Canis lupus familiaris: one gene and its partners. The protein of the gene in region 3 binds, or shares a complex with, the protein of the main gene of each other region. Links are inferred from orthologs where the notes say so. Each region holds a gene or a part of one and is shown on either strand. Other genes may lie near its edges.

The links.
Region 1: the proteins of IRF2BP2 (region 3) and ZBTB16 are in contact, whole or in part, in a crystal structure (PDB 8YTH), measured with the Homo sapiens proteins. The link is inferred for Canis lupus familiaris from reciprocal best matches to the Homo sapiens genes IRF2BP2 and ZBTB16. Residues at the interface, in NP_892017.2 of Homo sapiens: Thr516, His517, Phe518, Val519, Gln520, Pro522, Phe531, Leu557, Trp564, Ala565, Phe566, Met567, Glu570, Thr573, Ile574; in NP_001018011.1 of Homo sapiens: Arg285, Ser287, Val288, Ile289, Thr290, Ser291.
Region 2: the proteins of IRF2BP2 (region 3) and VGLL4 are in contact, whole or in part, in a crystal structure (PDB 8YTF), measured with the Homo sapiens proteins. The link is inferred for Canis lupus familiaris from reciprocal best matches to the Homo sapiens genes IRF2BP2 and VGLL4. Residues at the interface, in NP_892017.2 of Homo sapiens: Thr516, His517, Phe518, Val519, Gln520, Pro522, Phe531, Leu557, Trp564, Ala565, Phe566, Met567, Glu570, Thr573, Ile574; in NP_055482.2 of Homo sapiens: Arg161, Ser163, Val164, Ile165, Thr166.
Region 4: the proteins of IRF2BP2 (region 3) and IRF2 are in contact, whole or in part, in a crystal structure (PDB 8YTG), measured with the Homo sapiens proteins. The link is inferred for Canis lupus familiaris from reciprocal best matches to the Homo sapiens genes IRF2BP2 and IRF2. Residues at the interface, in NP_892017.2 of Homo sapiens: His517, Phe518, Val519, Gln520, Pro522, Phe531, Leu557, Trp564, Ala565, Phe566, Met567, Glu570, Thr573, Ile574; in NP_002190.2 of Homo sapiens: Arg331, Ala332, Ser333, Val334, Ile335, Lys336.
Region 5: IRF2BP2 (region 3) and BANP share a complex: the UniProt entries of both Homo sapiens proteins name them as parts of the corepressor complex. The link is inferred for Canis lupus familiaris from reciprocal best matches to the Homo sapiens genes IRF2BP2 and BANP.

What each region holds. Positions count from the first base shown.
Region 1 is NC_049226.1:19,123,291-19,127,269, reverse strand, and holds part of ZBTB16 (zinc finger and BTB domain-containing protein 16), read left to right. Parts: intron 1-2,317; coding exon 2,318-2,485; intron 2,486-3,979. UniProt on the Homo sapiens protein: Acts as a transcriptional repressor. Transcriptional repression may be mediated through recruitment of histone deacetylases to target promoters. May play a role in myeloid maturation and in the development and/or maintenance of other differentiated tissues.
Region 2 is NC_049241.1:6,903,109-6,907,534, forward strand, and holds the start of VGLL4 (transcription cofactor vestigial-like protein 4), read left to right. Parts: upstream 1-1,276; 5' UTR 1,277-1,915; coding exon 1,916-1,997; intron 1,998-4,426. UniProt on the Homo sapiens protein: May act as a specific coactivator for the mammalian TEFs.
Region 3 is NC_049225.1:5,615,816-5,620,237, forward strand, and holds the start of IRF2BP2 (interferon regulatory factor 2-binding protein 2), read left to right. Parts: upstream 1-1,360; 5' UTR 1,361-1,417; coding exon 1,418-2,486; intron 2,487-3,082; coding exon 3,083-3,798; 3' UTR 3,799-4,422. UniProt on the Homo sapiens protein: Acts as a transcriptional corepressor in a IRF2-dependent manner; this repression is not mediated by histone deacetylase activities. Represses the NFAT1-dependent transactivation of NFAT-responsive promoters.
Region 4 is NC_049237.1:46,981,478-46,986,246, forward strand, and holds the start of IRF2 (interferon regulatory factor 2), read left to right. Parts: upstream 1-1,756; 5' UTR 1,757-1,849; coding exon 1,850-1,900; intron 1,901-2,410; exon of another isoform or gene 2,411-2,704; intron 2,705-4,769. UniProt on the Homo sapiens protein: Specifically binds to the upstream regulatory region of type I IFN and IFN-inducible MHC class I genes (the interferon consensus sequence (ICS)) and represses those genes. Also acts as an activator for several genes including H4 and IL7.
Region 5 is NC_049226.1:65,688,441-65,692,419, reverse strand, and holds part of BANP (protein BANP), read left to right. Parts: intron 1-1,221; coding exon 1,222-1,397; intron 1,398-3,979. UniProt on the Homo sapiens protein: Controls V(D)J recombination during T-cell development by repressing T-cell receptor (TCR) beta enhancer function. Binds to scaffold/matrix attachment region beta (S/MARbeta), an ATC-rich DNA sequence located upstream of the TCR beta enhancer.

The DNA of each region.
Region 1 (3,979 bases), on a different chromosome or scaffold from region 3:
CGGGTGGCTGCCGATGTACGTTTTAATTACCGGCTCTCGTTGGAAGTCTCACGTGGCCCTTGCTTTATTTATTTATTTATATCTTAATGAGGATACTGAATCCTTGATTAAAGTCGTTATCGTTGCCAATTCGGCAAGGAGGGGGAGTCGGATGTCAACGAGGCGCGGGGGGGCGGGGGTGGCGGGGAAGCTGTGTGCAGACGTCTGCACAGAGAGAGTAGCACGCAGTACAGGCCTGCGCAGACTGGCCCTTACTCAGACAGACACACAGCTAGTGAGGACCAGGGTCTGCATAGACCTCTACTCCCCCTGGGTTTGGTGGGGCTGGAGGCTGGGGACCAGGTGGTCTGTATGGCCCTGGCAGGTGCCGGGAAGCCCAGGATTTGGTCTGTCTCCAGACCTGCCCATGCCTCTGAGCCAGCCAGGGCTGTACCCCGTAGCTTGGCGAGAACCCATGTGGAGATGTGGTTCTGCTCTTTCAGCTTCTCCTGTCTGACTCCGCCTGGGAGTGCTCCCAACCACCGCTCTGTGTCTTCAGAGCTTCTTGCAGAGAGAGCGAGCCCGCAGTGAGCAGACCCCAGCATCCACTCCCCACAGAGCCTTAAAAACCCTTCAGCACCATCAGGAGAGATGAGAATTTATGTGGGGACGGGGGCCTGCGTTTGAGAGGGGGGAGGTTTGGTTAGCGGCCTGAGGAGGAGAGAGACAAGAGAGTAAAATATCATTTTAAAGAGGAAGTGAAGGCATAGGCACGCGAGTCTATAACGAGAAGGACAATTTATGCCCAGGCACGAGTGCAGTTTGACATGGGGATAATGAAAAAACGTAGGTCATTGTGGATGACTTAAGCCTTCAGCAGCCGAAGAAAATGTATGAAATGCAGAGGACATTACACGGTTGGCAGCCCCGCACATCTGCAGAGGGACAAGTGAAATACAGTGGGCCATTCTTTACCATAAACTGTGGTTGTTGGAGATGCAGCCCAGAGAAATTGTAATTACAGTGACAAGACGAATCAGCGATATTTAAATATTCATGAACAAAGTCTGGGGTGATCCATCTATCTTTATTGTCTGTGCCTTCACTCCTGTAATAAATAAGTCGCCGAAGGCCTCACCTTTCAGCCCCCAAAGCCTCCACTTTGGGTACAAAGCAAAAGATGGTGGATCCCAGCACCCCACCCTCTCACCCTCCAGGGGGCTAATGGGTGCCACACACAGAAGGGAGGCCGACGGCACCGCTTCCAGGCCTGAGCATCTGCCCTGGGTCGTCCGTGTGCTACGTACCCAGGCAACAAGGATCGACAAGTCTCCCTTCTGACCCTCAAGGTGCTTCCATCCTCAGGGTACAGTGTGCGTGGCAGGAGAGACAGGGCTGTGTGCAACTTAGCCATCTGATAAGTTATCAAGCGTTCAGACTCCAAAACCAGATCTGTATCCTGACTCAGCAGCTTATGAGCTATTTGACCTTAGAGATCAGCTAAGCATCTCATTCTTCTCGTCTATATGGTGAGAATTGTGTGTTTCTTGTCAGGTGGTTGCAGCGATTACATGATAAGATGTGTGTAAGGCTCCCAGCATGGTGGTGAGCCTTCAGCAGGTTAGACCATTCCAATTAAAAATTCCCGTAAAAATGATCCTGCTGCTAAAATAACGCAATGCTAGGTATTTCTTCTCTCTTAGGATAGAAGAAAGCGACTCAGTTTATCTTGGTGGGAGAGGTTGAAGGGAAACTTCCAAACCACGGTAATGTGTGAACTGGGTCTTGAAGGATGAGTAGGAGTTCATTGAAGCAAGGAAAGAGGAAATCAAGCAGAGGGGATAGTTGTTGTAACTGTGGAGCGAGGAGGTAGCACAAGGCATTTGGGGGACAGTGTGTTCTAGTTCCCCAAATTGGAGGGTTTTTTTTTTTGAGGGCAGGAGAGGCAGTTAGGCTACCTATGGGAAAGGAAGAGGGTGGCAGGAGAAGTTGGGGGGCAAGGTGTCAAAGCCCACGGGTCTGCCCTCCCCTTGTGGGGGTCTGCTTTCTGGGGTCAACTGTTCATCCCTGAAACAAATGGGCTTTCTCTTCCTGGGATTGGCCCTTGACCCACAGATGAACTCTAGGGCCCTGTAAAGTATGGACATGTGTGTGCATACAAGCTCCCTGGTTCACACTGGGGCCCAGAGGAGGCCACGGGTCCTTATATGTTTTTGAAGAATGGTGGTGAAGATAGGCAGTCTCATCTTCTCGGTGCATTAAATGTGCCCTGCCGCCTCTTGAAGAGGGGATGGGGGTAGGGGAGACGAGGCTCTGATCCAGCCTTTTGTCCCCACAGGCGACCACCCGTATGAGTGTGAGTTCTGTGGCAGCTGCTTCCGGGATGAGAGCACACTCAAGAGTCATAAACGCATACACACGGGCGAGAAACCCTACGAGTGCAATGGTTGTGGCAAGAAGTTCAGCCTCAAGCACCAGCTGGAGACACACTATAGGGTGCACACAGGTACGGAGGACTGGTGAGGGCACCCCAGCTTGCGCGGGGACCTGGGTATAAGTGGCAGGGGGCAGGTGGTTCTCCAGAGCAGCCTGGGTGGGCATGGTCCCAGGCTGAGACGGAGAGTGGAGCGTGTTCTGGGAAAGGTTAGCACGGCTCAGGCGCCACTGCCCCCTGCAAGGCCGAGGCACACGTTGCTAGTGGATCACAGCACACTTTCCAGGAGCCCAGACCCACCTTCCAGGCAGCCGTACCAATAGTGCATAGATGACTTCGATCTGTGAGCCCTGAATTGGGGTCAGGTTGGCCTGAAGACTAAAAGCAAACGCTGGGCAGGGCTTCTTGTTCCTGGGGGCTAGGGGAGCACTGAGTTAGGTTAGGATGAGGGCTGTGATGCTGGGAGTCAGATCGCAGACAGATATATTCACAGACCCCTCTACCTGTATGATGTTTACCATTTCAGAGGGCCTTCACATTCTTTTTTATGTAAAAGAAATAGGATGGGGGTGTGGGGTCTGAGGACAGAGCAAGGGGAAGTGGCCGTGGTGGCCAGAATTGCCAAACTGGGGGGTGGCGGATGCTGGAGCTGGCCTGCACCAGCTCATGGAAGTCCACCTGCACGTCTCTCCCTGACTCCCAAGTACAGCCACATCACCTCAGACACAGGCAAATGCTACAAAATTGAGCCTTTTTGGAGAGCTAGTTGTTAAACATTTACCAGCAGCACCCTGCTGGTTGCGGCTTTGGGGTGGGGGGGGAGGTGGATATTCAGAAGGACTTCCTATGAGGTAGTGGGAGGTAGTGGAAGGTAGTGGAATCTAGCAAAGTAGGAAGCCTCCTCTGATCATGTGAAACAGCTGTCCTGACCTGGGGACAGAGGATGGGGGGAGAGGTGACCTCAGACAGGTCCTGCTGGCCGAGGGGCGAGGATGCGTCCACAAGCCGCGGGGAGAACAGGGAAGCAGTAAGGAGAGGGAGAGGATGCTGCGTTATGGAGCTCTGCTTTCTTGCCCCCGGCCTGGGCCAGAGGAGAGCCTCAGGTGCTTGTTGCTGACAGCCAGAGTCACTCCGAGCATTTCCCAGAGCCCCAGGGCTTCCTTAGCCCCCTGCTGGGGATGTGACCTGGTGAGCGGATCATTAAATGCATCGGTGGTGACTATTGTAAATAGCGGGTCGATAGTTAGATCACTTTGGCTGTTCATTACTTCATTATTTGCTGGGGCCTCTGCACAGAGGAGTATCGATAGCGAGATGGCTGGCCAGTTAATTACTGTATCGAAACAAGGTTCCCTCACACCCTCTGCTCAGCTCCAGGGGACTCTAACTGGCAGGAGGTAGGGTGGGTAGCAGCTAGGGTGTGGCCAGGCATTCCCAGGCTATGTGTCCCTTCCCCATCCTGGCCCCCCTGGGAAGGCTCAGGGTCCAGGGGTGGCTCTGGGAACCTTAGGGGAATAGGCATCCCGGATGGAGCATGTTTGGAGGATGGGGTTCCCTCACGTTCAC
Region 2 (4,426 bases), on a different chromosome or scaffold from region 3:
ATTTGCTGTGAACATCTGTCATCCAAAATGCAACTACTGATGGATTTTAAAAATCCCCTGAAATTATTTATTCAGCTCTGTAGAATATTAAAATTTCAGGTCTTGATCTACAGTATGACACTCCTTGATATTTTCTAAATCTCCAAATAGCATATATTCATATCAATACACAGACACTTCCTGTGGTGAATTATTAGTCAATTTATGGTGCCAAAAGCTAGCTACAGCCTGCTAAGATAAAACAATTTCCTCCCTCTGTTTGCTAGTGTGCTCTTTGTGCGCTTAAAGGCTCTGGACATTCAGTGATGTACTCATCAGTAAACAGCTTTTGGGTACCTACTTGTACTAGATACTGGAGATACGAAGTTTAAGGGTTTTATTTTTTATTTTTTTATTTTTATTTTTTAAAGATTTATTTATTTATTTATGATAGAGAGAGAGAGAGAGAGGCAGAGACACAGGAGGAGGGAGAAGCAGGCTTCATGCCAGGAGCCCGATGTGGGACTCGAACCCGGGACTCCAGGATCGCACCCTGGGCCAAAAAGGCAGGTGCTAAACTGCTGAGCCACCCAGGATCCCCAGTTTAACAGTATAGGAACAGCATAGCAACATGCTACTGGCCCCTAATAAATAGATGAAACAGCTTTCATATGTGCCGAATGAAAATGCCTTTATTCTCCTCATGACCCGTCATTTCAAATAGGCTTTTGGTCTTCCTTGCTTAAACCACTTTCTCTGTTTTCTCTTTTTTCTCTCTTTCCCTCCTTTTTTTCTTTAAGGAAAATTATTAGGGGAAAAAATACCCTAAAAGTAGTTTTACCAACTATTTTGGGGTCCTGGGTCAGTCATTTAATCCCTCTGAGCCTCAGTTTTCTCTGCTGTAAAAAAGTGATACCAAAAAAAAAAAAAAAAAAAAAGTGATACCATCTCCGCCCGGTTCATGTCATGAGGAGCAGGAGAGAAGTTCTATGTAACATTCAGATCAAAATTTGAAACATACAGCCCGAAGTGTAGAAGTGTAAAAGGACATCGTAAACCAATTTTTAAAAGAAACAAAAAACCTTCCAAATAACGCATGGTATATGTACCACGGCAAACGCAGCAGCCTGGGTTCCCGAATCCCCACAGTGAAGACCCAGCCAAGGTTAAATTCTGTGGAAGTTTGCTTCCATGATGGATTTTTTTTTTTTTTACTTTTTTACTCAGCTCCCGAAAAAGAAACTTCCTGGGTTTTCTCTCCCTCCTAGGGTTCTTGCAGTGGCAGGGCTGCTTCCTGTCCAGAGCAGCTCTGCCCCGGCCCCTCTGTTCAGACTCTCCACCTCCTCTTTCTCTTTCTTTCAAGCACTTAATGCATTTAGAGACTGATCTTGTGCAGAAAATATCCCTGACATTTGAGGAGCTGCGGGGCGCAGTGAGCATGCTCCGTGGCCCTCGGCGGGGAGAGGAAGCTCGCTCGCATTCGAGTCATACCGAGCATAGCCAGCATGTCAGCGCGGTTCCCTTGCAGCGGGCTGTGAGGAGGGCGAGCGCGGCTTTGTCCGAGGAAATGTGCTTCGTGGTCTTCGTCTTCACCCCTTTTCTACTGCGAAGAAAGACCTGCAAAGACTTCCGAAACGGTTTTTAAGTGCTCCATCGAGGATACAAAACCTATACTGTCTACAAATAAACCCTCCAAGGGTTTCCGTGTGACTTTGATTTTTTTGGTGGCGTGTTTTTGTTTTCTCTTTTCTTTCTTTCTTTCTTTCTTTTTTTTTTTTTTTACTTTTACATACTTTGTTTTGATCGTCTGAGGCTGGGCCTCGCTGTCTTTGTGAAGTTTGAGAAGAGCCAGGAGCTACTCAGTAATAATTGATTTTTGAAACCTACTCTTTGGGGGCGGAAAGCAAAGAGCTGGTTTTCTGTGCTAGCCCAATAAATGCTATTTATGAAGATGGACCTGTTGAACTACCAGTACTTGGACAAGATGAACAACAATATCGGCATTCTGTGCTACGAAGGTAGAGGTTCTGTTCTAGAAATTGCTCTCCTATTGCTTTTGTTAAGGCCACTCCTCCTTTAGGGTTCTGAATGCCTTCTGTGTATTTTGCTCTCTTTCTTGGGATTTTAGGGTGCTTTGAAAGGCGAGTATTTATTATGCACTATTTTCAATACAAAGTTTGCTGTTTCTATCTTAGCTTTCAGGGTTACAGTGGGGGAGGGAAGGCAGTGAAATATAAACTGTTAAAAGTTTCCCTTTTGCTTGCAACATTAACTCTTCAAAATTTTTAACTCTTGATAATATGATTATTTTTGTTTTCTGCTGGTGCTCTCTTTAGAGGAAGAACTTCTAGGACCAGGAAAAGTTAAACGAGTTGGTCACCTCCCCCACCCCCAGCTCTGATACTTATTTTAAACATACACTATCTACAGTATTCATGTTGTATTCCAGTCAGTGCTTTGGATTTTCATGTAGAGGGGAACAGAAAGTTACAGTGAGTTTTTGTTTTCAGGAGCTATTGTCCCAAACAATGAAGAATTTTTCTATTCAGTTTGGGGGACTGGAAGGGCACCCATGTCACAAAGCACAGACTGGCTCTTTGTCTGATTTCCCATTTCCTGTACTGCTCTAGAGAGTTCTGACATTGAAGGATGTTCCCTCCACACTCCGGTCCCTTGTGGAAGTGATTGCACAACACACCAACCAGAAAGCTAAATTGAAAGAGAGAAAGAAAGAAAGAAACCTACTCAGAATTCTTCTTGTTTATCACCTCCTGCTAAACTGTGAGGTGTTTCCCCACCGCCTTGTAGCATTTCAAGCTGCCCCTGTTGGTAGGAAGAAGAGAAAAAGCGATTTCTTGATCTGTTGGAACATTATCTACGTGCAATTTGAAAAAGTGGAAATGGCCTGGGTTTGAGTGGCCGGAGAGGCATCTGCGGGGGAATTCAGCTTGGCAGGAGGGGCGTTTTTTGTTGTAACCAAATACAAATCGAGGAGGAGACATCTCCTTTCTGATTCAGTAGGAGTTTCCATGTTTTCCCTTAATAGTGAACTGAACGTTTCTTTTGAAAAAGAAAACATTGAGGAAACTTGTATTTTTCATGTAAAATTTCAGGCCTGTTACCTAGTCAGTTGAAAACTTACCCTTTCCCCTTCAAGGAACATAAAATCTCATTCATACTGTTTTTTATTTCACTCAGGATAAGGATCTCATACTTAAAATTTTTTCTAAAAAGTTATACGTATTTAAACTCCTGCTTGTTCCACTAATGAGAATTTTGGTGTTTGCTTTCTTTGAATCTGCTGTTTTTAACTATCGTGTTACTTCTGAAATCACTCATTTTAAAAAAGGCAGACTTCTTCAGGGTGGTGGAAGTAGCGAGTGACTGGGCTCATTTCTTGTGAAATTAATATACTGCAGTTTTTAAAAACATCTTTTTTTTCAGTGATCAAGAAATCACAAAGTCTTAAGGCAATATCTGGTGGCTTGTCTTTGTCATTGTGTAATATGATATTCTCAAACCAAACCAAAACAAAATAAAACATAACGATCCGCTTAAGAGAGGGATAGAGGGATTGCTAGGAAATTGATACCACATTACTTTTTTATGTCTTTAGTTGGGGGTGGTGAGGAAAGGCTTACGGAAAGCTCCACCAGGTTGATTTGTTGTTCTGTAGTCTGTAATATACTTGAGAGTAGTCTGCTTGAAGCTTCCCTCTTTTGGGGGGAGGAAGAAACTTTGATTTTGAAAGTTGAGTAGATATGTAGGATGATTTGCTATAGTTTGTTTGGTTTAAACATCTGCTGCTATTTTCCTTACTACGAAAGTTAACGTTATATTAACACCAAAATAAATACACAGGAAATGAAGAAAAGCACAGCAAAACTTGAGTGGTGTTTTTAGTGGGTTGTTTATGTACTGGTGGTTTTCTTAGTATAAACACTGCACACATCTGCTCTGAACTCAAAAGGGTGTTTTGAGGATGGGCATAAATCTCAGATGGGAATTTTTTTTTTTTTTGGTAAGAAAAGTTGGAACCATTGCTATTTCTTTAAATCCAGTACTTTGGAAATATTCATATTAAACATAGCAGCTCACCAGCATTCCAGGGAAGTTATTTGGAAAATGGAATGTACAGTTGGTGTAGGCAGCATTTGATTTCATTTACGGCACAGGCAGGTTTTACATCTCTTAAGAATAAGGGGCAATTTAATTTTCTGAGGTTTTAGTTTTAAAAATTAAGATGCGGATGGTTATTCTTATTCTCTAGGTTATACCAAATTCCTTAGTTGTATTGTACACTGCCGTACTCTGCAAATTAAACCATGTGTCTGCACTGTCATTTCTTCAGCTTCTGTGGCAACATATACACAAATAGATCATTTTTAGCCAATTATTTTGTAGCATGCAGGGCCTTCCTAAAGTCCTACAGTTAGATGACTCTAAA
Region 3 (4,422 bases):
ACGTCCGCGCGGAGCGTGCGCACTGGGCGGCGGCGGCGCACGCGGGCCCGCGGCTCCGCGCCCACGTCACGCGCCCGCCGCGCGGTTCTCCCTAGGGCGGTCGGGTCGGCCGGCGCCGCCGGGAGGCCTCGGTGCCCGCCGTGGGGGCGGGGGGTCCGCCGAGCGGCGTGTGCACGCGCTCCCAGGCGTGGGCAGGGCCAGCCGCCTCTGCTAGTAAAGCTGGAGGGCAGCGCCGGCGCGAGTGTGAAAGCGCTTCGTGGCGCTCGAGTGTAACTCCTTAAAAGCACCAAAACTGTGAACCACGCTAGATTGAAAATCCCCATCCTCAAGAGGCCGACGGCCCCGAATCAGAGCGGCCTTGCTCTTAGAAACACGAGCGGGAAGCCGCGTTCGGCCCAAACGTTCCGGAGGGCAGGGAGGGTGACCGAGTAGTGGAGGCAGCCGAGCGGCCGCAGGGAAGTGAGCCGCCGGGGACACGGCTGGCGGGGCGGGCGGCGCGGGCGGCGCGGAGCCGGCTCTCCCGGCAGCGCCCGTTCTCCCTGCGCAGGGCAGGAGGGGGCGGGGGAGGGCGCGAGCGCGGGGGAGGACGGGCGCGCGCCCGCGCCCGCGCCCGCGCCCGCGCCCGCGCGCGCGAGGGGAGGGGGCCCGCGCAGGCGCGGTGCGAGGCTGTCGAAGAATCAAGTCTGTAGAAGTGGAGCGGCCGCGGCGGCAGCAGCAGCAGCAGCGACGGTGGCGGCGGAGCTGAGGCGGGCTGGGCGCTGACGCGGGTGCTGGAGAGCGGCGACGCCAGGAGCTGTGAGGGAACAGCGGAGCGACCCGGGGCCCGCGCCGCGCCCGTGCTCCACGCCGTCCGGCCGCTGCCTCGGCGCGGCATGACCCGCCGCTCGGGCTGAGCCTGCCCCGGCGGCCGCCCCCCGCCCCCCGCCCCCCCGGCCTCCCCGCCCCCCGCCCTGCACTCCGCGCCGGCCGCCGCCGCGACCTGCTGCGCTCCCCCGCGCCCGCGCGGCCCGTCTTCGCTCCGGTCTGGAGGCCGGCCGCGGCCCCGGCCGAGCTCCCGCCGCCGCCGCCGCCGCCGCCGCCGCCGCCGCCGCCGCGCCCGCCGCGCCGCGCCGCGCCGCCGCCCGCCAGCGCCCGCGCCCGAGCCGGCCGGGGGGACGTGCTGCCGCGGCTGCAGCCCCTCGCCCCGCGCCCGCCGCCCCTCGTGCCCCGGGGGCGCTGCGCGGGCGCCGAGCCTTCGCGGGCTTTGCCGCCGCCGCCGCCGCCTCTGCGGCCGCCGCCGCCGCTGGTGGGAGAGACGCGGGGTTGGGGGGGGCGGAGGGCGCGCGTGGTGCCGGCGGGGAGCGGCGGCGCCCCCTCCTCCGCCTCCGCCTCCGCCTCCTCCTCCGCCTCCACCTCCAGCGCCGCGGGCTCCTCGGACATGGCCGCGGCGGTGGCGGTGGCGGCCGCTTCCCGGCGGCAGTCGTGCTACCTGTGTGACCTGCCCCGCATGCCCTGGGCCATGATCTGGGACTTCACCGAGCCCGTGTGCCGCGGCTGCGTCAACTACGAGGGCGCCGACCGCGTCGAGTTCGTCATCGAGACCGCGCGGCAGCTCAAGCGGGCGCACGGCTGCTTCCCGGAGGGCCGCTCCCCGCCCGGCGCCGCGGCCCCCGCCGCCGCCAAGCCGCCGCCGCTGTCGGCCAAGGACATCCTCCTGCAGCAGCAGCAGCAGCAGCAGCAGCTGGGCCACGGCGGCCCCGAGGCCGCCCCGCGCGCCCCGCAGGCCCTGGAGCGCTACCCGCTGGCGGCCGCCGCCGAGCGGCCCCCGCGCCTCGCCTCCGACTTCGGCGGCAGCCGCCCGGCCGCGGGCCTGGCCCAGCCGCCGACGCCGCAGCCGCCGCCCGTGAACGGCATCCTGGTGCCCAACGGCTTCTCCAAGCTGGAGGAGCCCCCGGAGCTGAACCGCCAGAGCCCGAACCCGCGGCGCGGCCACGCCGTGCCGCCCACCCTGGTGCCGCTCATGAACGGCTCGGCCACGCCGCTGCCCGCCGCGCTCGGCCTCAGCGGCCGCGCCGCCGCCTCGCTGGCCGCCGTGTCCGGGGCCGCGGCCGCCGGCCTGGGCTCGGCGCAGCCCGCCGAACTGAGCTCGCACAAGCGGCCGGCGTCCGTGTCGAGCAGCGCGGCCGCGGAGCACGAGCCGCGCGAGGCGGTGGCCAAGGAGAAGCAGCCGCCGCCGCCGCCGCCGCCGCCCTCGCACCGCGGCGCCGCCGACGGCCTGGCCGGCGCGGCCGGGGCCACCGAGCTGGGAGCCGAGGGCGCGGGCAAAGGCCGCGGGCCCGGGGAGCAGGACTGGGTCAACAGGCCCAAGACCGTGCGAGACACGCTGCTGGCGCTGCACCAGCACGGCCACTCGGGGCCCTTCGAGAGCAAGTTTAAGAAGGAGCCGGCCCTGACTGCAGGCAGGTTGTTGGGTTTCGAGGCCAACGGGGCCAACGGGTCTAAAGCAGGTAGGGGCGGCTGCGGAGTGCGAGGGGACCTAGGGGGCGAGCGGGGGAGCGGAACAGCGGAGGGGGTGCTCTTGCCATTCGCCGCTCAACCCCAGCCCAGAAACAACAAACACCCAACTTCCTGATCTGCCCGAGGCGGAACCAGTGCTTAGTGGCAACGTGTTCATGTGCTGAAGCAGCATAACAGAGATGAGTCAGACTGGGCTGATAGGCACTGACACAGGGTTTTCCTTTCCCAGCACATTCTTGGGTGGGAGCGGGAGGGCACCAGCCACCCTTTACCTTGCTGGGGGCCGTTAGCAATTGAATGCGCGGGTTCCACGTGTAGGTACGGGGCGGACGTGCGTGCGTGCATGTGTAAAAACAGGCTGTCACTGCGGTGCTGCGTTCTGTGGCTTATTTTCAAATACTGCCTGAGAGCCCCGTGAGTCCTAAGTGTTGGGAGTTGCACGTGCACTTGAAACTCCTGAGTGAGATTTTTATATAGGGGCTTGGGGAGAATAGAAATTCTTTAGCGGATCTTGTTTTGTGTTCGTGAAAGAAAGGTCCTTTTCAGTGCACATCCGTTTACTGTTTTCTTTTCTCCCCCTTCTCAGTTGCCAGAACAGCAAGGAAGAGAAAGCCTTCGCCAGAACCAGAAGGTGAAGTCGGCCCCCCTAAGATCAATGGAGAGGCACAGCCATGGCTGTCCACACCCACCGAAGGGCTCAAGATCCCCATTACTCCTACATCCTCTTTTGTGTCTCCACCACCACCCACTGCCTCACCTCATTCCAACCGGACCACACCGCCTGAAGCGGCTCAGAACGGCCAGTCGCCCATGGCAGCCCTGATCTTAGTAGCAGACAATGCAGGGGGCAGTCATGCCTCAAAAGATGCCAACCAGGTTCACTCCACCACCAGGAGGAATAGCAGCAGTCCACCCTCTCCGTCCTCTATGAACCAAAGAAGGCTAGGCCCCAGAGAGGTGGGGGGCCAGGGGGCAGGCAACACAGGAGGACTGGAGCCAGTGCACCCTGCCAGCCTCCCAGACTCTTCTCTGGCAGCCAGCGCCCCTCTATGCTGCACCCTCTGCCACGAGCGGCTGGAGGACACCCACTTTGTGCAGTGCCCGTCTGTCCCTTCGCACAAGTTCTGCTTCCCTTGCTCCAGACAAAGCATCAAACAGCAGGGAGCTAGTGGAGAGGTCTATTGTCCCAGTGGGGAAAAATGCCCTCTTGTGGGCTCCAATGTCCCCTGGGCCTTTATGCAAGGGGAAATTGCAACCATCCTTGCTGGAGATGTGAAAGTGAAAAAAGAGAGAGACTCGTGACTTTCCGGTTTCAGAAAAACCCAATGATTACCCTTAACTAAAACTGCTTGAATTGTGTATATATCTCCATATATATATATATATATATATATATATGTATATATACATATATACATATATATACACACACACACTCATATATATATATATATATATATGTGCATATATATATATATATATATATATCCAAGACAAGGGAAATGTAGACTTCATAAACATGGCTGTATAATTTTGATTTTTTTTTGAATACATTGTGTTTCTATATTTTTTTTTTGACGACAAAAGGTATGTACTTATAAAGGCATTTTCTTCTTTTGTTAATGTTATTAGCATATCTTTGTGCTTTATTATCCTGGTGACAGTTACCGTTCAATGTAGGCTGTGACTTGCGCTGCTTTTTTAGAGCACTTGGCAAATCCGAAATGCTTCTAGCTGTATTTGTATGCACTTCTTTTAAAAAGAAAAAAAAAAAAAGCCAAATACATTTTCTGACATTGTAAGATTGCCTTACTGTCTGTTATTCCTTAATGCTGGCCCCTTTCTCAGGCTGGAGGCCAGTTGGTGGAGAAGGAAAGGGAAGGAGCCAAGGGGGCACTGTTGTGAAGTGGGTGGCATGCCACTGAG
Region 4 (4,769 bases), on a different chromosome or scaffold from region 3:
CCGGCGGGAGCGTCCCGGCGGCCGACGACAGACTCACGAGCAGCCGCTTGTTGCTCCCGCTGCCGCGACGTGGGGAAGCGAAAATGAAATGGACTTTTCCGAGAAATGATGAAAGCGGCGCCGGGCGCCAATGAGCGGCCGCGGCGAACTTCCGCACCTCCCGGCCCGGCCGCTCGCGCCCTCCCTCCGCCTCCACCTCCCGGTTGCACAAGCTCGAAACAAACACTGGGGAGGAAGGGCGGAGGGAGGAGGGCGGAGGGGGGAGGGCGGAGGGGGGAGGCGAGGGAGGGAGCGAGCAGCGAGGGAGGGAGGGAGGGAGGGAGGGAGGCAGGCAGGGAGGAGGGCGGGGGGTGGGGGGATTTCCAGCCTCTGCGCTTCGCAGTTTCCTCTCCTTGTTTTGCTTTCGATCTGGACTGTTCTCAGGCAAGCTGGGGAGTAACTTTTAGTTTTGCTCCTGCGATTATTCAACTGACGGGCTTTCATTTCCATTTCACACACCCTAGCAACACTTAAACCTTGCGGGATTGTATTGGTAGTGTGAAAAAGCACACTGAGAGGTAACATTTTTCAAATAATAGTTGTGACTGTGCGTGTGTGTTTTTCTCGAGGGCATGTTTGCTGAGCACTGGAGGGGATGTGTGTGTGTGTGTGTGTGTGTGCGTGTGCGTGTGTTGCGCGCGCGTGCTGATGGTTTGACACAGTCGCAGCCGGAAAATGCTGGGGGTTCATAAATATTAATACTGATTTTTGGAGGAGCAGTCGGCGCTCTGATGGATCGTCTGATGTTTAGGGGAAGCAGGTTCTGCTGCTGCTGCTGGGGCTGCTGAGGCTGCTGGGGCTGCTGAGGCTGCAAGGAGGAGGAGGAGGAGGTAGAGAGGGAGGAGGAGGAGGAGGAGGAGGTCGGTGGAGGTTTAATTTCACTTTTGGATTTGCAGATGCGGAGAGGTGGCTCCATGGACACAGACCTGCTCTGTGTGATTCTGCGCCCCAGGTGTTGGGTGTGTGGGCGCAGGTCCGCCGGAGTCGGGCCTCCTTTTAAAACAAAATTCTCGTGTGCGTGCGTGTGTGTGTGTGTGTGCGTGTGCGTGTTTACAGACGCCGTCGCCGCGGGATCCGAAGGAGGGGAGCGGGGCTCGCGGTCTCCGGGCGGCTCCGCCGTGCGCCCCGCTGCCTGCGCCCCGCGCCCCGGGCCCCGGCGAGGGGAAACTTGGTGGGGCGCCCCGCGGCGGGCCCGGGGCACGGTGCTGGGCGGCGGCGGCGGGCGGCGGGTGCCAGCGGGGCCTGGCCGGCGCGCCCGGCTGCCCGGGAGCTGGGCCGCCGCCGCCGCCGCCGCCGCGGGGGGACGCCGCGCCCTCCTTCCCGCCGGCCGGCGCCCGGCCTGGCCCCGGGGCTTTGTCGCCGCGCTGGTCCCGGCGCGCGGGGGGCTCCGGCGGCGCGTCCCGGGAGGGCGCCGCGCCGAGGGGTCACCGCCCCGGCCGCGGCCTAGCGCCCGGCGCCGCCGGGTCCCCGCGGGCGCCCCCGGGCCGGCCTGGCGCGCTGGGCCCGACCCGCCTCGGCCGCGGCGCGGGCGCGGTGGGGGCGGGGAGCCTCCGGGGAGCGAGCGGCGCCCCGCTGGCAGGCGCGGGGGCGGGCGTCCCCCGGGGGTCCGCGGCGCGGGCGGGGCGGGGTGGGGACGCGAGTGCCCGCCCCGCGCCCTCCGACCCCGCTCTGGGCGCCGAGCGGCATTCGCCCGCCGGCCGAACGTGGTTGGTGCGCGGCCGCCACTTCCTCCCCGCCCCGCCGGCCCGGCCCGGCCACCGAGCGGGGCCCGCGGAGCCTCCGCAAGTTCGGGGGAGGAGGGGGGCTGCGGATGCGACCGGGTCCCCCCGCCAGGACGCGCCGGCCCCGGCCCCAGGTCCCGGTACGTTCGCCGCCCTTGCCCTGTTGCAGCGGGAGCGGGGGCGGGGGCGGGGGCGGGAGCTGCGCCCCCTGGCACGGGCAGGCCCGGGCGCACTCCTCGGCAGCCCCGGAGGACAGTCTCTGCAACTTGGGGACATTTTGCCCGCCCCGTCCCTCCTCCGCCTCCTCCCTCCGTGCGGGCGGTGGGTAGTGCTCCGCGTGCAGGGTCACGGAATCCCAAGACGCGGAGTGTCTCCAAAGCTGGAAAAGTGCGGGCGCTCCTGTGCCCCCTGCGCCTCCTGCGCGCCCCCCGACCCCCCGGCCTCCCCTGTTGCAGTGGCTCGGTCTGCTTTTGATGAATGGCTGGGGAGGGTGGAGGATGGTTACATTTCCTGTTGGGGATTTTCAGGAATCACCGAGGCTGCTGTCGAGCCTGCAGTCACTTATCAGGGTTCAGACCGATTGCACACGGCGTGGGGGGCTGGGGGGGGGGGCTAGGAGCCTGCACTTGGTGCTCTCAGGGCAGGTGCAGCGAGGGGCCGCTGGCCGACGTGGTTCCGAGGGCGGGTGGTCTTGGATGCGCGCTCGCCTCCCGGCGCCCGGGGGCCCATCCCTGCCCCACTTCGGGGCGCCCAGCAGATCCAGGATCCAGCAGTTTCCCCAGCGCCCCGTGCTTCCTTTTTTGGAGGGGGCAGCGGTAGAAGTAGGAACCTAGAACGTCCTGGAAAAACTCGACTTTTCTAAGGAGACTTCAGACATGGAATATTGAGAAATGAAACGGGCATTTCTACGGGGTAACCTTGGAACATCTGTTGATCGATAGACGGTAAAGTCCGGAATTTCGCTGCAATCAGTGAACGATTATAATTTATAACTCGGCCTGTTATGTAAGAAGCAAGATTTTCGCTTCTTTAGATTCAGGAGTTCTGTGATGACTTGTAATCGCTTCCTAATATTAAACATTTATATACTTCGTCCTCAGGGAGTTGTCCTTTTTTTTTTTTTTTTTTCCTTTTGATCTTGGAAAGTAAAAGGTAATTTTGCATATTTCAGACTTGACTTACCTGTAAAAATGTCACCGGCATCAAAAGTGAGAGTTTGTAGTTGAATTGGAAGCAAATTATGGCAAAGTAATGGTTGTCCTTAAGTACTGACAGCTCTATGAACTATGGCCCGGCTTTCCTGTGCCTTCTGAAAGACTTTATTAGGCAGATATTCCATATACCAAAGCCAGTTAATAAGGCTGTTAAGCTTACAACTAGTAGTGGAAGATTCGAGACTCTGGATACTTAACTTTTGGTGTGCATCCATTGCTTCAGGTTTGCAAGGACACTGTACTTTTATTCTTAGGATTATCAGATACGAGCTTGGTTGTTTCTAGAACATTTTCACACAATTTCCTTTTGATAGAGAGCAGAACTCTAAATGGGGTATCTGGGACATGGTTCTGTTTTGTGCTATATACCAAAAAGGGTGTAAAGCAGAGGAAGGACTTTATTTATTCATTTAATAAATATTCCTGGGACATTCACTCTGCACCCAGACACAGTGCTAGGCTCTGTGGGTTCTACTCGGAACAGGAAAACAACTTCCTTACCCTCTGGGGAAATTGTATTGTGGTCGGTGAGCTGATAATAGGCAACCGAAAGATAAATAACAGTGATTACCTTCTGGGGTTACTTCTATGGAAGGTGATAATAATACTTAACTGCCTATCTGATAGGGTTGCTTTGGGGAACAGAGGAGAGACTGTGTATGGGAGAAGGTTATAGAAGTTACAGCAGTCTACAAATGTGTAAGGCATTAACTTTCAGAAATCTGTCACTATTATTAATGCGAAAAAGCCAGGAAATCAGGACTATGGATTGATCACTGACTTTCTCTTACAGAATTTTCAGCAAAAAGGGATTTACTTCTTCTGAGAGTATTATGGATAACGGCAAGGAATTAAATACAGAATAGCTATTTTATGTAAAGCATCAAAGAATTTAACAGTGAAATATAATATTGTCAGTGAATTTTTTCTGTCAGAAGTTGGATGGTATCCATGGAGACCAAATGATATGGAAATAACAGTGATACCAGTATACTTTCTGTGTGTGTGTGTGTGTGTGTGTGTGCAAGGATATATATATCTATATATCTGTATATTTATATAAATAAATCTTCTCAGGCTCAATGTCATTTAGTCTGAATTTTCTTACCATTGCTGCAGACTCTGTAATTCATTATCGTTATTACAGATAAGCTCCTAGCTGATGTTAGTATTTTGCTATAGCATCATTAAGGGGACTCGGTTCACTTTCATTTATTGACTGCTGTGTGTGCAGCACTGTGTATGTGAAAAAAATAGTGTATTTTTATAAAATACAACATTTAAAAGTACGTAAGGTACTATAGGCAAATAATGTAAATTGCTGTGAAGTGTCAGTTTTGTTAATAAAATCCGTTCTTTTTGTCTGTATGGGACACCAGGTTCTTCTCAGGTGGGATAGGAGATCAGGGCTTTCTGCCCTTTTGCCCTAGATGTGCCCTGCTTTTGTCCCGAGTGTGATCAATGTCCGGTGCATAATGTTTGCCCCAGGCAGGGTTAAAGGGTGTTTCTTAAGGAGGTGCCTGGCAGGAAAGGAAGTGAGGAAGGTTGAATGAATCTTGATTTTTTTTTTTTCCAACAAAGATTGATAAATTATATGTAGGTTCCAGATTTAAATGTGAAGCCAATATTTTGTATATACCAAGGGAAATATACAAGCAGCAAATTCAGCCCTCGGGCACCTGATGCCAAGCCATAGCTTGGGCTGCCTGCAGCAGGCCCCTAGTTGCCAGCATTTTACCTTCAAGCATCCTTTTTAAATAATCCCCCCTCACACACACACACACACACACACAAA
Region 5 (3,979 bases), on a different chromosome or scaffold from region 3:
CACGGGAGTGCACAAAAGGCATCATGCGATGATGGAGGCCACCGCGGGTGCCCCTGTGTAGGGCTCTGGGCCCAGCGTGGCCTGGTAACGTGCCCCGAGAGGGCCCCTCTGTTTGTGGCTCCCCTCTGTGTGTTCACAGAGCTCCATTTGGCCTCTTCTCTGGGTCCTGTCTGCAGATCGTTCCTCCCCCAGCTGTGTCCTGTGCCCTTTGTTGTTCTAGCCACTCCTGAGGGCCCCATAGTGCCGCGGCCTGCTGCGCTGGGGGGCAGGAGAAGGCCTGGCTAGATGCTTGGGGGCCAGGGAGCTCTTGCCAGTGGTGAGACACAGGGTCAGGCATGCCAGGGGCTGACCCCGAGCGATTAGGAGCCAGGGCAGCTTGAGCAGGCTGCTGTGAATCGAGTCCAGAAGGTGGAGCCCCCTCCCCGTGGCACAGCCAGGATAGGAAGCATGTTTTGTCTCTGTAAGCAGGGAGGTGGCATTTCTTCCACTTTCTTTGTGCCCACCAGTGCCCGCGAAGGGATGTTGTTGAGGCGGTCTTGGAAGAGCTGCGTAGCATGTCTCCAGGCAATAAATACAGATGCTTTGGGCCTTTTTTGGAGCTGGTGACTTATGTCCTGTTTTCCTGGCAGTATCTTACAGCCCCATATCAGGACCCCTTAGGGTGGTGAAACTGTCCCTTAGGAAGTTCTTGGCTGGCTTTTTAGATCCATTTCAGTGGATTTTGTTGGTGGGAATAGTTGGGAGTGATAATGGCCATTAACAGAGTCTAGTTGCTTCTGGTAGGTCTAAGTAGGGAGTGGATTGGATCAGTGAAAAGTCTCCAGGTTCACTTTCTCTTAATCCAGTCTTTCCTTTGCATAGTCTAAAAAGTTACTCAAATGTCCACGTTTTGCAGGATCACCTCTGTGATCAGAGAGTTGCATTCTAGGCCTTGAGTCACAGTGGGTTGTGATTTTTTTTCTCTTGTGATACAAACATGATTGTAAACTTTGCAATTTCATACGGTTTCTTTCCAACCCCAGACTATTTCGTGCTGCTCAGTTGCTGTTAATCTTGGTAGGGAGAGCTGTATGGGGAGACTTGTGAGCTGCTGCTCCATGCGCAGCTTAGAGTCTCTGATAAATGAAGGTGAGAAGAACATGGCAGTGCCTCAGTGCTAGTGTCTGCTTGTTGCTCATGGCACGCTCACAACATTGGCTGGTGTTTTTGTTTCCCGCTCAGCGCGGTGCCCGGGCGACGACAGAACACCATTGTGGTGAAGGTGCCGGGTCAAGAGGACAGCCACAACGAGGACGGGGAGAGCGGGTCCGAGGCCAGCGACTCCTTTTCCAACTGTGGACAGTCAGGAAGTCAGAACATTGGCAACAACGTCACCCTCATCACCCTCAACTCAGAAGGTGCGCCCGCAAAGCTTCTTTCCTTTGCCTGAGAGGCGGTAGGTACGGCTTCCTGTCCTGTTCTGTGTGTTTGCCGCGGAGGAAAGCAAAGCGGTCAGCCTCACAGTGTTTCAACTTGATGATGGCTCACAACCAATCCATGCTTGGTAGAAACTGTACTTCAAATTTTGAATTGGGGTCTTGTCCCCAGGCTGGCAGCGTGCAGTCTGGTCTTGGTGATGTGAGGTAGCGGCTCCCAATCAGCCCGTAGTCATGCAGTCAGTAGCCACCAGGCCGACCACTGTTCCGCATCCCCTGCAAGCCCTTCTGTTTGCCCCTTTCAGCACTGTGTTCGGTAAGTTCCATGAGCTCTCTCGCACGGTATTTGTGTGACATGATTTTGCCCAGCTATAGGCTAACGTGGATGTTCTGAGCACATCTAGGGTGGGCTGGGCGAACATGTGATACTTGGTAGGTTAGGGGTGTTAGATGAATTTGTGACTTAAGATTTTTTCAACCTATGATAGGTTTCTTGGGACATAGCCCCATCCCCAGTTGAGGAAGATCTGTACATGTTTACTGTTTTTAAAAAGTGGTAGAAGAAAGTGAGAAAAACATAAAATTTCATGTCCAGAGAGCTCTGTAGAATCCTGTGGGCTTTTTCCATGTGAGCATAAACATGGTATGATTCATGGTGTGACACAGACCTCATTCATGCACGTCTAGTCAGCTTCTGGAGGCTTTCTAATGACAGGCATTGTGCTTCTATAACTAGTAGCTGGTCACTGCCTTTGACCATAGGCCTATCCACGTCTCTGTTGAAGACCAGACACAGGTGCTCAGAGGGGATTGTACAACCTTCCACGAGATGTAGAGGGAGCTGCTCTGCTGGCTGGATGTGAGCCTGGACGTGAGCCTCTTTCACCCACACCAGGGCTCCTGTCCCCCCGTCTCTCCTGCCAGGGTCTGATGTATGCTCTCGACTGGCCCTGGTCCCTGCTGCTGGCCTGATGTGCCTCTCAGAGGCTCCCTGCTGCCTGGCACCTTTGCCCTGCCTTTGTGGGCCAACCTCGGCTTCCCACATGGCTTTTCATAGCATGGGGAAGAGGGCAGATTGATGGTTTAGCGCTGTGTTACTGACTTCTAAAGCCTCTTGTTTCATTTACTAGTAAACTTGTCAGGTTTATTGGTTTTATGTCTGAGTTGTTGATTATTACCAGAAGCACAATATCGATTCCTAAAGGCAGTGATGTAGATTTACTGAGCAAAGATTTTCCTGTTAGACAGGTTACCATATCTGAAAGACTGAAGACAGTGTTTTTCTCAAAGTTTTGCTCAATTCTGACATAAATTGCTAGGATTGGGACAGCACAGCAGGAGTGAGGAGAGAATCAGGGTTTAGGGACAGCGTTTTTTAAAAACTTAGATCGAGGGCAGCCCGGGTGGCTCTGTGGTTTAGCGCCGCCTTCAGCCCAGGGGCTGATCCTGGAGACCCGGGACCGAGTCCCACGTCGGGCTCCCTGCATGGAGCCTGCTTCTCCCTCTGCCTGTGTCTCTGCCCCTCTCTCTCTCTCTCTCTTTCTCTGTTTCTCTCATGAATAAATAAATAAAATCTTAAAAAAAAAATAAAATTAAAAAATAGAAACTGAGATCGAATTTAAATACCATAAGGTTGACCATTTTAAATAAGCATCCAATTCAGTGGTTTTTAGTACATTCACATGGTTGTGCAGCCATTGCCCAGGCTAATTCCAGAACATTTCTGTCAGGAAGGAGGCCCTGCTACAGTCACTGGCCATTCTCCCTGGTATTCACCAGTCCACTCTCCATCCCCGGAATTATGTGTTGCAGGCGCTTCACACACGGGGGAGCCGTGTAGAGCACGCCATCCCTTCTGTGGCCAGGTCCTGCTCCATCATGTGGATGCACCACATTTTGTCCACCCATCTGTTCATTTGTCAGTGGACACTTGAAGTGCTTCCAGTTTTTAACTGTGATGACAATGCCTATCTAGGTAGTTTGCGAGAACATGTGTTTTTGTTCCTCTTCGTAGGCACCTGGGAGGGGAATCACTTAGTTTTTTTACACATTAAGTTTGAGGAAGAGAGGGATGCCATCAATCTCAGCTAATGGAGATTTACCATCCATAGTAGAGATGGCATCTGTAACTACGTGTTCTTCCTGTCTGTGCACGTGGATTCTGGGTAGATGCCCACATAGGTCTGGCTGGCCACTCAAAGCTTCATGTTTGTTTGGTTTAAACTGCATCAGTTAGGGAGCATAGCACCCAGTAGTTCTGTGAGTTTCTCAGTGAGTATCATAAAAACAAAATATTTCAGCTTTTTATGTGTCTTACTGTGATGTGATTAATGTAAGATATATTTCATTTGGGGAAACTGCAGAATGCTGCTAAGTGAACACAGAAGAGTCCAGCTTTGAGGTTAGTAACATCTGGGAGACAAAATACAGATTTTCTTTTTTATCTGAGTCTGAGCTCTTGATGAGCTGACGCACTTTGTGGAAAGCATTGCTTTCTAGCGGACTGTGTCCATTGGGCATGATGGATGGAGAATGCCTGTTGTTAGGATTGGGGCAAGCTAGAG